Linked DNA regions of Drosophila melanogaster. The protein of the gene in region 1 interacts with the protein of each later gene in a pairwise test. Each region holds a gene or a part of one and is shown in the gene's direction. Other genes may lie near its edges. The genes, in order: CG14490, qless, CG5808 and CG1142.

Evidence for each region.
Region 2: the proteins of CG14490 (region 1) and qless interact in a two-hybrid assay, tested with the Drosophila melanogaster proteins (one large-scale study listed by BioGRID).
Region 3: the proteins of CG14490 (region 1) and CG5808 interact in a two-hybrid assay, tested with the Drosophila melanogaster proteins (one large-scale study listed by BioGRID).
Region 4: the proteins of CG14490 (region 1) and CG1142 interact in a two-hybrid assay, tested with the Drosophila melanogaster proteins (one large-scale study listed by BioGRID).

The regions. Positions count from the first base shown.
Region 1 is NT_033778.4:17,859,068-17,862,147, forward strand, and holds CG14490 (uncharacterized protein), read left to right. Parts: upstream 1-1,692; 5' UTR 1,693-1,731; coding exon 1,732-2,140; intron 2,141-2,205; exon of another isoform or gene 2,206-2,261; coding exon 2,262-2,446; 3' UTR 2,447-2,524; downstream 2,525-3,080. Other genes in the region: orai, read left to right, coding at 191-727; thr (three rows), read right to left, coding at 2,531-3,080.
Region 2 is NT_033777.3:31,249,575-31,254,220, reverse strand, and holds the start of qless (qless), read left to right. Parts: upstream 1-1,612; 5' UTR 1,613-2,326; coding exon 2,327-2,539; intron 2,540-4,646. Other genes in the region: CG1750 (uncharacterized protein), read left to right, coding at 1-142, 198-562; mRpL32 (mitochondrial ribosomal protein L32), read right to left, coding at 604-866, 923-1,162, 1,218-1,302.
Region 3 is NT_033777.3:24,814,390-24,818,607, reverse strand, and holds CG5808 (uncharacterized protein), read left to right. Parts: upstream 1-1,600; 5' UTR 1,601-1,655; coding exon 1,656-3,289; intron 3,290-3,351; coding exon 3,352-3,679; 3' UTR 3,680-3,705; downstream 3,706-4,218. Other genes in the region: Saf-B (scaffold attachment factor B), read right to left, coding at 1-22, 170-197, 258-746, 872-991; CG34150 (uncharacterized protein), read right to left, coding at 3,744-3,910, 3,974-4,055, 4,116-4,218.
Region 4 is NT_033777.3:7,471,944-7,475,754, reverse strand, and holds CG1142 (uncharacterized protein), read left to right. Parts: upstream 1-1,973; 5' UTR 1,974-2,017; coding exon 2,018-2,494; intron 2,495-2,532; exon of another isoform or gene 2,533-2,848; intron 2,849-2,907; coding exon 2,908-3,276; 3' UTR 3,277-3,297; downstream 3,298-3,811.

The DNA.
Region 1 (3,080 bases):
GATCAGATAAATTAGGTCCATTCAGATCACATAATATAAGAGAAAAGTTGCTTATTTGCCAATTTTGCAATGTTCTCGCGAGAAATGGCTAATAATAATAAGAGGCGATGCCGGGGAATCGTTTCGATTTCTAACCAAAATTAAATAAAAATCATTAATGACTTTCTTCACTTTTGCAATTTTCACATAGGTGGCGATGGTGGAGGTGCAACTGGATCACGATACGAATGTACCACCGGGCATGCTGATAGCCTTCGCCATCTGCACCACCCTCCTGGTGGCGGTGCACATGCTGGCCCTGATGATCAGCACCTGTATCCTGCCAAATATTGAGACGGTGTGTAATTTGCATAGTATTTCCCTGGTCCACGAATCGCCACACGAGCGTCTCCATTGGTACATTGAAACGGCGTGGGCATTCTCCACGCTGCTGGGACTCATACTCTTTCTACTGGAGATAGCCATCCTGTGCTGGGTGAAATTCTATGACCTAAGTCCGCCGGCGGCTTGGTCAGCGTGTGTGGTCCTCATACCGGTGATGATCATCTTTATGGCCTTCGCCATTCACTTCTATCGCTCCCTGGTGTCGCACAAATATGAGGTGACAGTCTCGGGCATCCGTGAGCTGGAGATGCTCAAGGAGCAGATGGAGCAGGATCATTTGGAGCATCACAATAACATACGAAATAATGGCATGAACTATGGCGCATCCGGGGACATTGTCTAGCATCACTTGGCGTATCCGCACAAGTGGATCGAACGAAAAAGACAGCGGCTCAGGGTAAGCTTCAGATTATTTTTAGTGAAACACACATATTGTAAATTTGTAGTTGATTAAAATTGTGATACGCGGAATTCAGTAGATTTCTACTATATATATATATATATGTGCGAGTGCTGCTGTAGTCCTTTATTTTACTTATGGCAATTGCGGATTAGCACGGATATTGACAATGATAAAAGACCCCAATTAAAGCAATACTTCGGATGAATATTCCTCAAAAAATTAGCTGATATTTGTTACATATTTATATTGCGTGTATTTTAAATTGTATGCCATGCCGGATTTTCTTTTTTTGCAACCATCCTTAGGCAGTCTTCCCTTTTTACGTTTAAGACACAACTTGATTGTCAAATTTAATATTAAGCCAATTGTGTAAGCGAAACCGCGCTGTAATTTATACCATATAATTTATGATTAAAAGAATTTTCTATATATATGGTGTTGGAGTTTTATTTTTAATCGTGATATATAGCTGAACAATAGATGCGGATTAAAAGAATGCAAAATTTTAGAGACAATTTGATATATTTTATATGCAACATAAAACAATTGTAAAATAAAGTATTTGAAAATGTACTGCAATATTTATATACGAATTATATTCATAGGTATTCCAATAGTTTTGGAAAATATAACAGTCTATTTTCGATCTTTACCGATGTAAGCTAAATAGCGCTGTAATTTATATACGACTGATTAAACGATTTTTACTACATACACTTAACCGGAACAAACGATTTTCTATTGAGCCAATGTCTTTGGCCTCCTTAAGTTAGCGTGTCGCTGCTGGAGGAAGCCAAATGGTGGCAAGACATGCTGCTGCTGGCTGGGGGGGTTCGATTAGACAAGTGACACCACCGCACGCACACCGCCGCCTAAAGTCGGACGACACCACATGGCACCGCCGCAATTGGACGGACTTGCTCCCGCGCTCAGTCATCGAAGACATGTCGTCGCGTACGAGCGGATATAGTAGTGGAGTTCGCTCTCAACGTTATCCTGGTGGGCAGTACCAGGGCAAATGGTTGGGCCAGCAGCCTCACGGGTTTGGGGTAAAGCAAACGAGCAGTGGACTTGTCTACGAGGGTCACTGGCAGAAGGGTCAACGGCATGGCATCGGAAGTTTGCGTCGCAAGGAGCTCGATGGCCGCATGGAACGCATCTACGTGGGTCAGTGGCGGGAGAACAAGCGGAGTGGCGAGGGCAAGCAGTTCTATCCGGACGGATCCGTCTACTTTGGTCAGTGGCTAGCGGACCAGCGAAGTGGAGAGGGCATCCTATGGCAGGCGGATGGCGGCATCTATGTGGGCGAGTGGCTTCGGGACAAGATGCACGAAAAGGGTTTACTTTTCACGGGTGAGTGTGATAAAGAAATAAGATATGTTCCTTTGGATGTATTTGTTTCATTTTATTTATTTTTTCGCAACTTTAAAAATGCATAAAGATTATAGATAATAAGTTAATATGTTATCCATAGCAACGGGAAATCGCTACGTGGGTCAATTTGAAGGAGGCTGCAAATCGGGCTCAGGTGTATTTTACCATGCCAGCAATGGACAGCGGATTCAGCACGGTTTTTGGAGCAAGGACATCTGTAGAACGTCACTACTGTCCCTGCCACAAGATAAAAACAATGAATTTATGTCAAAAGCTCTTTTGTAACACTTACACACAATATATATATATATTTAAATACCAAGACATTTTCGATAAGAATAAATACGAACTAAGGAGACTACTATCTAATCAGTGCCGATGCCGTGTGCGTGTGCTAATGGACTCCGTTTCGGGAGCCTGTGCTTCCAAAACCTGGCGCCTCGTTCGCTTGGATGAAAGAGTCGCTGTCTTTGGTGTCTCTACTGGTTGGCGCAGCCTGGCTCTGGTGCTCCGTGTACTTGTAGTTATTGTCGGCGTTTCTACTATTTCCAAGCTATTATCCAATGTTAGGACTTTACAAGCTTTGGATGTGGCCTTGGGTTTTGCCTTCTCCCTACTTTTTGGTTGTGTCTTCTTTGTGGACACCAAAGGTGAATCGTCATCGTCGCTTATCTCGATCGCTTGGCAGGCATTTAGATCCACGTGATCCGAAGGCGGTGTATTCTCTGTTCCGCTGCCACCGCTGCTACTGCAACTGGTAGCACTTGGTGGTCGTAGTTCCAGCTCCTCGTAAATTCTGAATCGAGGTGCCTTTTTGGCCGACTGTTTAACTTTAGACGCCGTATTCTTGACTGCTGAAACCGATCCTATTGCGGTTCGTTTCTTATCTTCGGGTGAGTGATTGAATACCAAAGCACGT
Region 2 (4,646 bases), on another chromosome or scaffold:
GCTATTAATCCCGATGTCTTCATGCCGGATCTGCATGCATCTTTGGCGTCGCTAGGAGCCGAGTTACTTGTGGATACTATTAACAACCTATCAGTAAGACTTAAGGAAGCCAAACCCCAAGATAGTTCAAGGGTCAGCTATGGTAAAGCATATCTAAGCACTTCGAGAACCTATATAAACTATATTTTTGCCTTCAGCTCCCAAGATTACCAGTAAAATCACAGAAATTATCTGGTCCGAGCTGAGTGCCATTGAAATATACACTCGTCATCGAGCTTTGTATGGCTACAAAAACCTTACAACCAACTTTTTGGGCAAGCAAGTGCAGTTGCTGGAGTTGCGATTACCGGAGAAGAGAGTTCCCGTCCAAGAACCTGGTGCCATCAGCTACCTAAGGAAGTCGAGATCCCTCATAATCGGATGTGCTCAGCAGAGTCAGTTGGAAGTGCTTCAGTTACGCGTGGAAGGTAGAAAACCTATGAGTGCCCAGGACTTTAACAACGGATTCCTGAAGCAAGCAAGGTCCTTATCCTTCACAGAGAATAAAATAGCATCGATTTGATAACGAACGTGTGGATTTAATGCACAATGGATGCTTAGTATCTAGGCCAAGTCGGAGGGCTTGACTTCCTTGGTTTCGGACAGCTGCTGCGTGGATTTTTGGAGCAGATTCTTGGTGAACCACATGGGACGAGGCTTCTTCATCTCCACGATGCGCTTGTTTTTCAGATCATCTGTGGACTGTTCGGCCTTCTCGCCTTCATAAAGAACGATTACTTCCTTGTCCACGGGATCTAGACCGAGTGTCTCCTGGATTTTCGACTGCATGAGCTCAGTCTCCTTCAGGACCTTTTGGTAGCAGAAGGCTGGAAGAGCAACATTAAAGGTGGCTACCTCTTTGTATACTTTTAAGGCTACTTACGACAAAGAACTCCCATCTCGTGGTCATGGCCACATTGCAGACAGGAGCGGAGGTTTCTCTTCTCCCTCAAAGGCTTCCAGTTGTATTCCGGATATCCGAACTTCCGCTTCAGGCGTTTCTCCACGGATCTTCTGTGCTTCGGAACAGCCCACAGCAATCCGTCGCCAATAAGCTGCTTCAAACTGAATTCCTGGGAGGATTTAGGGCTGTGATCATGCTGAAAACCGGCCAACGCTAAAGCTGTGTAAAAAGTGGGTAAGTCAGGGTAACTTTATCTTGGGCTGGTGCTTCTCACCAGGAGGGTGTCCTCCATGTGGCAGGAACAAGCTCTCTAAGTTCCTAATAAAGTTTGTAATTGATAAAAACAAATTTCTAGACATCTTGTTGCTGCTCTTCTGAAATTTACGTAAACGTGATTAGAGATGCGCAAGAGGAAACAGCTGTGCTATCGATATGTTTATAGAAAAACGTAAGTAAGGCACAAAATAGATGTAAAAATGTTAATTCAAAAAAGAGCAATAAAAATGGTGTAACTACTTTTAAAATAATGTCAGCATCCGTAAATAACTACCGTTTTAAGGTTGCAGACTTTGTCGCCTTACGTTGCACACTTCTAGTGCTACGTTTTAGCCGGCTGCCTTGCGTCACCGCGCACGTTGCAACCCTAAACAGCTGTTCGCAGCAGCTGTTCTGCACTGTTACGTCAAAATAAAGTAGTGAAAAGGTGCAAATTGCGTGCGAGTTAAATAAAAACTATTTGCCAGGCGGAAAAACGCGTTTTCATCGGGATCTTTGAGCGTCCCAGTTGTTGCGGAACATGAGGACACTGGCGGGACTAATTGGTAGTGGCGGTAGTGGCCATAGGACCTCTGTGAGCAACGCTTGAGTCCAGATATATCCCTCCAATAGTGTGACCCATAGGTAGCCTGGGGTCATCCAAACAGACCTCGACCCCCAGTGACTGTAAAACCGCGTGGCTGCCTTAGCCACCGAAATCCCCGTTCAAGTTCAAGCCGATCTTACCTTCGTGAGCGATCGTTTCCACCACAGTCGGCCAGTGGGATTCCCACCACACCTGACCGCGCGCACGCGCATCGATTCAAAAATCCACAAAAAGCGAAAACACTTCGCTGGAGCTGCTGAAGCCAAACGCAAGCAAACCGCGCTTCGCCGTCGCCTCGAAATCGTTAGTCCATCGATACCCCGAACTCGCCACACAATCGCGCGTTTTTCAAATCCTGCGAGCCTGCAAAAAACATAAACAAAACCCACTATAATGCTGTTCACCTGTTGAATTCTGTGCCTGTGTCTCGATCAAGAAGCTGCATCCTACCCTTCCCACAAAAAAAAAAACCATCGCATAAGCCCTGCTACTTACAAATCCTCACAAACAAAACCCACAAAATGGCCTGCTTGAGCACTTCCGGTCGCGTCGTGTGCGGCTCGCGTCGCCAGCAGGCGCACAAGCTGCTCTATCAGCTCTTCGGATCCCGGCCAGGATATACAGCCCCGTCCGCCGCAACCGGATTATTCAGTCCGCCCAAAGTTCAACAGCAGGCCATGCGACTCTACCACGGATTAAGCTTCAGCATGGGCAAGGATTACCCCGATCTGCTGGTAAGTTCACTGTCGGGCGAAGCCTACACAGCGAGAAAAGTGTTGTGTTAAATGGTAAAAATAGTTGAAGTTAGAAAAATATGGAAAATATGAGGATTTCATTTCTGGTAAACTTGAAAAGGAAAAGATACTTTTTATAAGCAGTACAATTTAAGTGATTCCTTTTAAAATTTGCAAATGTGAAATAAATCCTTATAAAATTGGATTGAAAATGTATTAGTTTTTTTTTTTTGCCGTGCAGAGTGCATTGGCTGCAAGCCAACTCTTTTGGCCGCTAATGCGTCTGCGTGACTTTGGCTTTTGCTGTCCGCTTTTCTTTTCTTCGCTGCAAAGCCAAAAAGAAAATGAAAGTGAAATTGGTTGCTGGCAGTTGTCCGTTGCTTGTTGGTTGTTGGTTGTTGGCCATTGCTTTTGTGCAAGTAGCGTGAAAAACAACTTGTTGCGCCCACAGTTGCAGTGTTGTTGTTGGCGGAAGCTGGCGCATTTATTTATTATTGTGCCTTGGCTTTTTTACCATTTGCCGAACGCCTCTGTTTTTCTCCGCAACGTTTCCATGTGTTTTTCCCCGCATTTTTGCAAGGTGAAGTTTTTCATCTGCCTCTCTTTCTGGCCCGATAATTATGTCTCTTTCTGGTCTGTCTGTAGTTTGTCATTATTTTTATATCGTTGACAAGTCGCTAGCCTGCAGTGTTTTTCTTCCTTTTTCATTTTTTCTTTGAGTTATGCAATTTCGCTGGTTGCATTTGAGCTCTGGTTTATTGCTCGTATTTATCAATATTTATCGCCCGCGTTGTTGATTTTCGCGCTATTTGTGGCGCCAATAAACAGCTGATTGGGGGCCAGTGCCCCCAAAACTGTGCTCCACTTGACTGGGAACTGCGCGTATACGTAATATCTCAATTGTGTTCTGTTCTGTATTGTGTCGAACATGCGGATTTTGTACCCTTATCAGTCGGGGTAAACACTATCAGCTATTTGCTATTTCACTAGATAGATTAACTATTGCAAATACGGTGAATACACTTAAAGGAATAAGGAAGGTATTTTTCATGAGAACTACATATTTCTACTAATAACTCATAATAACATCTTGACATTGCCTCAGGTGTCAAATATAAATATTAATTTTCTCCCATAATATTTTATTGTTACGGCACTATAAAGCGAGTTTACTGTAACAAATAAAACGATTGAAATGCATGTAATTTTTTAAATCCCACGAATGACGCACTGAGTGCAACAAAAGGGTCGTAAATAACCGAGCTCATTATAGAGTTATGGAGCTATTTGCCTTCCTAGGTCATATTTCTTGGGGAACATCTCCAGCCTTTGTTGTGAGTCGGAAAAACCCAGAAGGAACTTCGGGCAATTGTCTTGAAATTCAATTGGCTAGTCAAGCCTTCGGCTTAATTGCTTACTTACTCACTTATGTACACCTTGAGTAGGCATGTATGCATAGGCCGCGATTAGTGCATCGGCTTCTCACATTTGCTATTTAGTTTATTGTTTTATGGCACGCCATTTAAGCCAACCCATTTAACTGGGGGGGGGGTGGCATTCGGGAGTACGACTTTGATTTAATTGCTTTAGCATTGCGAATGCAGCAAGTTGAATGCAGTTTGTGCATTGGCTATTTTGGCGGCCAGCCTTGGCTTGATCATATTTATTTGTATCTATATGGCCGCACTTTGGTCGCTTTTTGGGTATACATATGTATATAAAACAGGTTAAGTGCTCGTTAATTCACTTTAATGCACACCTTTGACATCCGTAAAAAAGACCTTGCTCCGAAAGGTTGGGGGTTTGCATTTGCCTCCCGAAAATGCGAGAAGCCAAATGTGTTATTGGGCCAATTTGATATCTTTACGATACAAGTATAGTTAAAAGCAAGTAGCAGTACTTCAATAATATATGGAGTACTCACATATAAATAAATGTTCCCAATCATATTGGAAAAAGTTTGATAATTTTGTATGCAGTCGTTGTCATCGAATTATTTATGCATTTTAGTTGTTTAAGACCCTTTTTTGTTTCACTTCGGAGCCGAATAAAAATTCATTCAACGCCAAATTGAATGTGTGCCCAACTCGCATCCATACACACGGGT
Region 3 (4,218 bases), on another chromosome or scaffold:
TCGGATTTATTGGCCGGTTTGACTGTGAATCAGGATAACTTTTATTAACATATTAGCTTTATTTCTTGTATTTCGTATTTCTTAATCGATTGCATGAATACAAACGCCATGATATTTCTAGTCATGAATTATAAATTTTCTATGGTTTTGAGTGATACTGCAAACATACCAGACTTAATAGATTTGTCGTCGGAAGCCTGAGGACAAAACAAATTGGATTAGAATACATCAATTTAAGGCCAAATAGTTAAAATCACCTCATCGTGCAGCAGCTTCTGCTCGTCCTCCCCAATTGTCAAATTGATTGACTCGTCATTGTCCATATTTCCGGTGTCCCCGGTGTTTTCCTCCTCACCATGGATAATAGCCTTGTCGTCGCCATTGTTCTCGGCTCCATCGTCCTGAGCTTTCCCCTCGGCATCGCCATCACCGCTCTGGGGCTCATCGTCGTACACATGATCCTCATCCTCTTCATCGTCGTCATCCAGGATCACACACTCATCGTCCACATCTCCCACCTGGTCAATCTCATGCCCATCGTCGTCGGCATGATGCGAGTAGTCGTTGCCATTCTGGTAATCATCTTGCTGTTCCACCTTCACCTCCTCCTCATTGGCATCGATGGGCTCTTCCTTGATCACCACCTCCGACTGGAGATCTTTCATGGGCATGGCAAACGGCTTCTTGGCCTTCGCGCCCGGCACAATCAAGTGGGTGGCCGGGTCGAGCCCTTCAGCTCTGAGTGACTTGAAATTAGAAAAAACCAGGCGTTGCTTACACACATTCATAAATCCCCGGAAATTGCATCACTATCTCTATCGCCAGCGGCACTGAACCGCCATTTAAGTTGCATACATATTTGTGGACTTACTTTTTCAAGGCGTTCGATGAGCACCGCCTTGGGGCCGACTGTCTCCAACTCGCGTTTCTCCAGCTCACTCTTTAGATCGCACACGCGCAACTCTGCTATTTTCTTTCCTGCCTCGGGCATTTTACCTTGTTCTAGATCACTGGTCACTTGCTTAACTATTAATTGTCGCTTTTTAAGATTGGAATGAAATTTTCTGTACTTTTTTCCAGTCTCGAAACGTGTGAAAATTCTTTGACAAGTCTCACTGATACACACACAATTATCGAATGACAATCGAAAATGGCGATTACGAAGTTACGTTCTGTTTTTAAAATATTCAATCGATGTCAAGTATCGGATGAACTTACGCATCGTGTATAACTATTTACATTTACAGGTATGGACTTCTTTGATCAATTTGTATTTTCTTTATTTTTTTTCAGTTTTGTTCAGTTTGTATTTTTTTTACTTTTTTCTCAGTTTAGGGTACATAAAAAAAAATATTTTTTTTTCAAAATTTATGTAAAATACCAATTTTGTACAAGTTTCATATAACACCGACATAAGTCACATTAAATTAATAATTGTATTAGAAAATTTGGATAATTAATTTATACCTACAATTTATACACTTCTCTCCTCCGATGCGCAGTAGAGATGGAAAAACATCGATGATTCCTCGAAAAACATCGATGTTTGTGATTTTTCGAAAGCATCGATGATATCGATTTGGCATCGATGTTTCTCCACCTCTATATTGTTCTTGTTTATCCCTTGATTTTGCCGGTATCTGTGAATTCGCACAATGTCGGTGGTTATAGAAACCACGATGGGTGACCTGACCGTCGACCTGTTCATCAGCGAGCGCCCAATTGCCTGCCTAAACTTCCTCAAGCTGTGCCGGCTGAAGTACTATAACTTCAATCTATTTCACACGGTGCAGCAGGGATTCATCGCCCAAACAGGCGATCCGAGTGGAGCTGGAGACGGCGGATCCTCCATCTGGGGCGTGGTGGAGGGTCCGCAAAAGCGCTTCTTCGAGGCGGAGTTCCTGCCCAAGATTAACCACTCCAGTGCCGGAATGCTATCGCTGGTCAGTGCAGGCAAGAATCTGGTGGGATCCCAGTTCTTCCTCACGCTGGGTGAGAACCTAACATCGCTGGACGGCAACCACTGCGTTATCGGTGAAGTGGTGGAAGGTCACGAGGTGCTGCGCAAGCTAAACGACGCCATTGTTGACGACAGCTTCCGTCCTTACCAGGATATACGCATCACACACACTGTTGTGCTTGAGGATCCGTTTCCTAATCCGCGCGGCCTTCAGGCTCCAAGTCGCTCACCTTCGCCCAGTGCGGAGCGTCTGAAGAACGGGCGCATCGCTGCCGACGAGGATATCGATGACACTGATGGCATGACCGCGGAGGAGATGCAGGAGATGCTGGCCGAACGAGAGGCCAAGGCTCGAGCCACAATCCTTGAGATTGTCGGCGATTTACCCGATGCAGACATGGCTCCGCCAGAAAATGTCTTGTTTGTGTGCAAACTCAATCCTGTTACAACCGACGATGATCTGGAGATAATCTTTAGTAGCTTCGGCGTGCTTAAAGGATGTGAGGTGATTCGCGACCGCAAAACGGGAGATTCTCTGCAATATGCTTTTGTGGAGTTCGAGGATCAAAAATCTTGTGAGGCCGCATATTTCAAAATGGATAATGTGCTTATCGACGATCGACGCATCCACGTGGACTTCTCCCAATCCGTTTCAAAGGTCACCTGGCGGGGCAAAGGACGTGGTATTGAGGGCGACTATAGAAAGCTGGATTTTAACAATTTGCGAGACGACAAAGATCACAGGAAACCAAACAATGGCCGGTCCAGAACAGAAGACCATAAGGAGCGCAACAGGACGGAAGATTTTCGAAATAGGATGAGCTCTGCAGAGCGAAGAAAAGCGAGAGAACAGCGACACCAGGAGCAAAGCGAACGAGATGTTCGAAAGAATTTGCAAAGACGCACCAGATCGAAGGAAAAAGATGAAAAAAGTGTTTATAGATCGAAAAAATCGCAAAATGAGTCAGTCAGAGAGAACTCAAATCGCGAAAGGAATCGCAATGAAAAAAGGTCATCGAGGTCTCGGGATGCAACACATAGAAGGTACTCTAGGTCAAGAGATCGAGAAGAGAGAAGGCCTTCTAGGCCTAGAGACCAATTAGGAAGACGTTCTAGGTCAAGGGACCAAAAGGAAAGAAGACGCTCTAGGCCAAGGGAACAAAATGAGAGAAGGCGTTCTAGATCTAGAGATCAAACTGGAAAAAGACCGACTCAAAACAGAGATCGCAATGACAGCAGGCGATTCCATTCCCCTCAAGAAGGAAGACGTAACGATGAGAGATCGCATAGAGAAACCTCCAGGAATCAAAGAAGATCGCCAGAGCGGAGGTAAAAATGTTAAGCATCTGGATGTATACAAAATCTTTAACTATCTATCTATCTTTTTATAGGCAACAATCCAGGAACCGGGAAGACCATAGAATGGACACTCACTCAAGCCCTAACAAGAGTCATGAGAAGAAAAGAAAACTTTCAGTGGAAAAGAGCAAAAAGCAAGCCAAGAAATCGAAACGAGCAGCTAGCAGCAGTTCAGATTCGAGTGAAAGTTCCTCGGAATCCGAAAGCGACTCCACATCTTCAGATAGTTCCGAGGACAGCTCTAGCAGCTCCTCATCGTCGGACGATCGCAGCAAACGCAAAAAGAGTACAAAATCCAAGCAAAAGAAGTCCAAGTCAAAGAGTAGTCACAAATCGAAGAAGAAACATAATAGAAATTAAAGATAAACGACGTAATTAATCAGAACAAAACCATCTTGACTACAGCTAAATATTGAATATATTTTTATTTGTTGCGGGCCTGGACTTCGGCTTCCAGCGCCGCCATCGCAGCGCCACCGCAGCAACCTTCAGTGTTTTTGTCGCCGCGTTGCCTGCGCGGTTTTTCGATAATTGCGTCAGGATTAAAGACCACATTGTCGAGTCGCGTTGTCTCTGGCGTGATCCTTAGTTCTGTAAATATAGCCAAATTTTAATTTTGAGCGCTCTTTTATGTAATCGCCATGCCCCACTGACCATAAACACCATCCTCTTTTTTCTGGGCTTGGATGACATTCGTTCGCAGCTCCAAATCCACGTCCTGCGCCAGCTTGATCATCTGTAATTTGCCAAATTGCCATATATGTACTTAGTTAGAATTTACAAAAAGTGGTTAAACCTTTTGAATTTCATCCTCGCTGCTTTCATTACGATTCTGCAGGAAAGATTCGTTGATTTTTAGTCGTCCCGCCGCCAAAGCATTGGCATCCCCCTGAAAAACG
Region 4 (3,811 bases), on another chromosome or scaffold:
GCTCAATAATCTGTCACCAAAGACACTAGAATATTCTAGGGTCTTTGCTGTCACTATATCGACTTGTATTTCTCCCAATTTGTGTCTCAACTGTGTGAATATTGAGGTCTTTATGGAGTGTAGAGTTACGTACATGCGCGATTTTGCATCACCTGGATACGTTTATAATTCGATTTGGTCGCAATTCCCCAAATCATTTATGTTCCTACTTCACTTATTTTATTTTTATAGTGTTCGATGTACGGATTCTTCACTTAATAAATAATAATTTAAAAAAAAAATTCTATTCATATTATTTTAACTAATTTAAAAATTACATCTTTTTCTGAACACATATTACAAAGGGTACAAATCTATAAATGCATTTGATTTTCTTGTTTGTTTACCTACCGCTGTATGGCACACATATAAAAATATGTATCAGCAAACTCATGCTGTCATTCCACTTTGAAGAATCTTTCGTTTGCTCGAGCCCAGCCGAGGGCAATTCAGGAATATATACTTCCTATTGTTATTTTTTTACCATTCTGCATTTCTCAGTCATTATGAAACAATTTAAATTTCTTACATAGAAACTATACTTTTGATTTCACAGGCTTTTAAAGCAACGTTCATACACGGGTATGCATAAGCAATGGCAAAACCCACCCCGATTTGGTTTGCCATACAGCACGTTTGCCCGACTGCCAGCTTGTAATTCCCAAGTGCTTATTTGGTCAAATACTCGTATAAATACGATATCTGCTTCCCGTTACTTCGGAAGTGTATTCTGTGATTGTTCTGTACATTGATCGATATTCAGGTAACTGCATCTGCTTATCAGATCTGTTCAGAGCCGACCCTCCGTCACACCTTTGTGTTTCCCAGTAATTCTGCCTGGCGTTGCCGTGGCTCCTCGTTCGGATCGGCTTTCCGCTGCCTTCCACTGGATGACGACGGGTTATCCGGCGGTCGACGCACGGTCATGCACCCCCGATCCGTCGCCCCCACCACCCCGCGGATTCTGGTCTCGACCGGAAGCCGTATTGGGCGGGGACGGGCGGCGGTCCGGTGCTGAAGCCGGCGACAGTTGCCCGAGTCAGCCACTTTCAAAATTTGTTGGTTAAGTAACTTAGTAGCTTAGCTTCGGATTTTCGTAACAAATTTGCTGTTCAGAACACTTCCATGTACGCGGCATTGCCGAGCAATTTGCCCATTCTTTTGCTGCAGCGAACTACGTTCCAATATTTATTTATTATTTATTTTGTTATTAAAATGCATATTTATACAACTTATTATTTGAAAGTAACAATTTCTTTTTTTACAGTGAAACTAGAACTCTCAAAAATAGAACCCCAAATGCATTTTTGCTCGTAACAGGCAAACGGTATCTTGATACTAATATACGGGCATGTGTAGCATTACGGATTTCGAAGAGTATTTCTACTAGTTTTTAAGTTTTGAGATTTTTAATGCATATCGATTTCATGAATAAAGTTTCCTTCCAAAAACTAAATATGTATTTCTACTTATACTCAATAATCTCTTTTCCATGAGCATTGCAATATGACGACTATTACCAAGCAATTTAGAAGCATTGGCACATTTAGGCAGTATTCAGCTATTAGGTCCACCAAGCACGAAGTTATCGGTCCTCGCACTCGGAACTGATGTTTTATGTGGAGGTTTACTTAATTGTACGTTCAAAATTGCTTAAGCAACTAATTGTTATACCTTAACAAAGAAAAAATAAAAATTGGGGGTATTCCATTAGGTTGTAAGTCGGTTGTGAATTTTTGAATTTAAACCTTTAGATCAAATGTACTTGTCAGAAAAATTAAATTAGAACACAAATTTTTTTAAACTAAAAGTAATTTAAGTAATAAATGTTCAGGAATGCCCTTGCCAAGAGCTAGTATTTTCCAAATTACATGCAGTGCATTTAGTATATTTTTGACAGTCGACCTGTGAGTGTGTGTGCTACTACTACACGGTCACACTGTTTGTATGTTATAAACAAGCGTGGTTGCCGCACAAAATGGATTCTATTTTTCTGGTAGACACAACAGGACGCCAGGAATTCAATGGCGAGCAGCAGCAAAAGAAGATTGTGTACAACAAAGAGCTGCTCCTGACAGAAAGTGACGCGCACAGCGAGGAGGACGAGGAACAAAATGAGGGCGCAGTGGAGCTCTTTGGCCTAAAGTTGAACTCCAAGGAAGTGCTCGATGTCGTGAATTCCCTGCCTGACCGAAAGAAGCCGGTATCCAAGGTTGCCAAGCAGCTGGAGGACCTCTGCGAAAAGGTCGAGAGTGCAGTGGAGAACTCCAGCAAACCGAAAGTAGTGCCCCGGAAGCGGGTAACAGAACTGAACCACGATGCTCCGCATCTGGACCTGCGGCAGGAAAACCTGGAAAGTAATATGAAGAGGACGAAACAGGCCTTGAATCCAGGACTAGAACAGGCGCATGCACTGCCCACCGTGGGAAAGAGGCAGCAACCCATCATCAACAGAGTGAGTGTGAAGCGATTTGTTCGTACAAACAGCCCTTTTGCCCATGATGAAATATTCGACATCGGAGTTTGCGCATTGGCGACAAGACCTAAGGCTCAGACTCTAGCAAATCTAGTTTCATCCGTTGTAATCTTTGCTGCTGCACTCCAGAATTTGCAGTGGCCGTAAGGCCAGCGGGACACCAACAGCCAGGGATCAAGACTATTATCTGTCATTGAGTCCTAGACAGATAGTTTAGTCTCTGGTTTACAGAACACCCAAATGGAAATGAAACACGCGCTTTTGTCGACCCAGGAGCCAGTTAGGTCTAAGCTGTTTGTCATGGTGACGACGTCTTTAGTAATCTGAGCGCAACATATTGGAAATTTCAGACCCTACCTTGCTTTTATTTTTAATCGCCTTCCTTTTTTCAGGCTGAACGCTCAAAGACCAAGGGCAAGGGATGGTTTAATCTGCCCGCCACAGAGATCACCGACGAGATGCGAAACGAACTGAAAATAGTTCAGATGCGATCGGTTCTGAACCCTAAGCAATTCTACAAGAAGAACGACCTTAAGAGTCTGCCCAAATTTTTCCAAATCGGTACTGTGCTACCTTCGCATTTGGATCACTACCAAGAAAAGAAGTCCAAGAAGAAGCAGTCGCTGGTAAATGAGTTGTTAGAAGACGAGAGCTTCCAGAAGTTCAACAAGAGGAAGTTCAACGAGGTTATTAAGCGCACAGACAAATACGCCTATCGGAAAAACTTGAAGAAAATGAAAAAACTTAAGAAAAATAAATAAATATAAAATATTTTAAAACCTAACTTACTCGTCTCTATATTTTATTTGAACTTAAATAATGATGGGGTAAATAGTCAAGTCAGAAAGTAGTCACTCCAGAGATCGTGGAGTATCGCAAGATCCGTATGGTTAGTACCTTTCTGCGAAATAGAGGAGTTTATTTTATGTTCTCTTCCTTTGGCCAAATATTTAAAAATCATATTCCTCAGTAAGATTCTTTATATTGTGTGTATTAACAATATTTTTGACAAACTAAATTGATAACTTTATTCTAAATTGTTATAAGTGAACGAGGAAAGTTTCTTTTTAATTTTATAACCAATCTTTGAATCATGTCTTCCATCTAGTTTCCGTAGTGTAGCGGTTATCACGTGTGCTTCACACGCACAAGGTCCCCGGTTCGAACCCGGGCGGGAACAGAAAGATTTTTTATAACAATTTTTATATATATTTTTTAATGACTGTGTTTTAATTTCGTTTAACTTAAATTTATGATTTCAAAGTAGAAGAACAGATCGATAAATTTCATATAAAG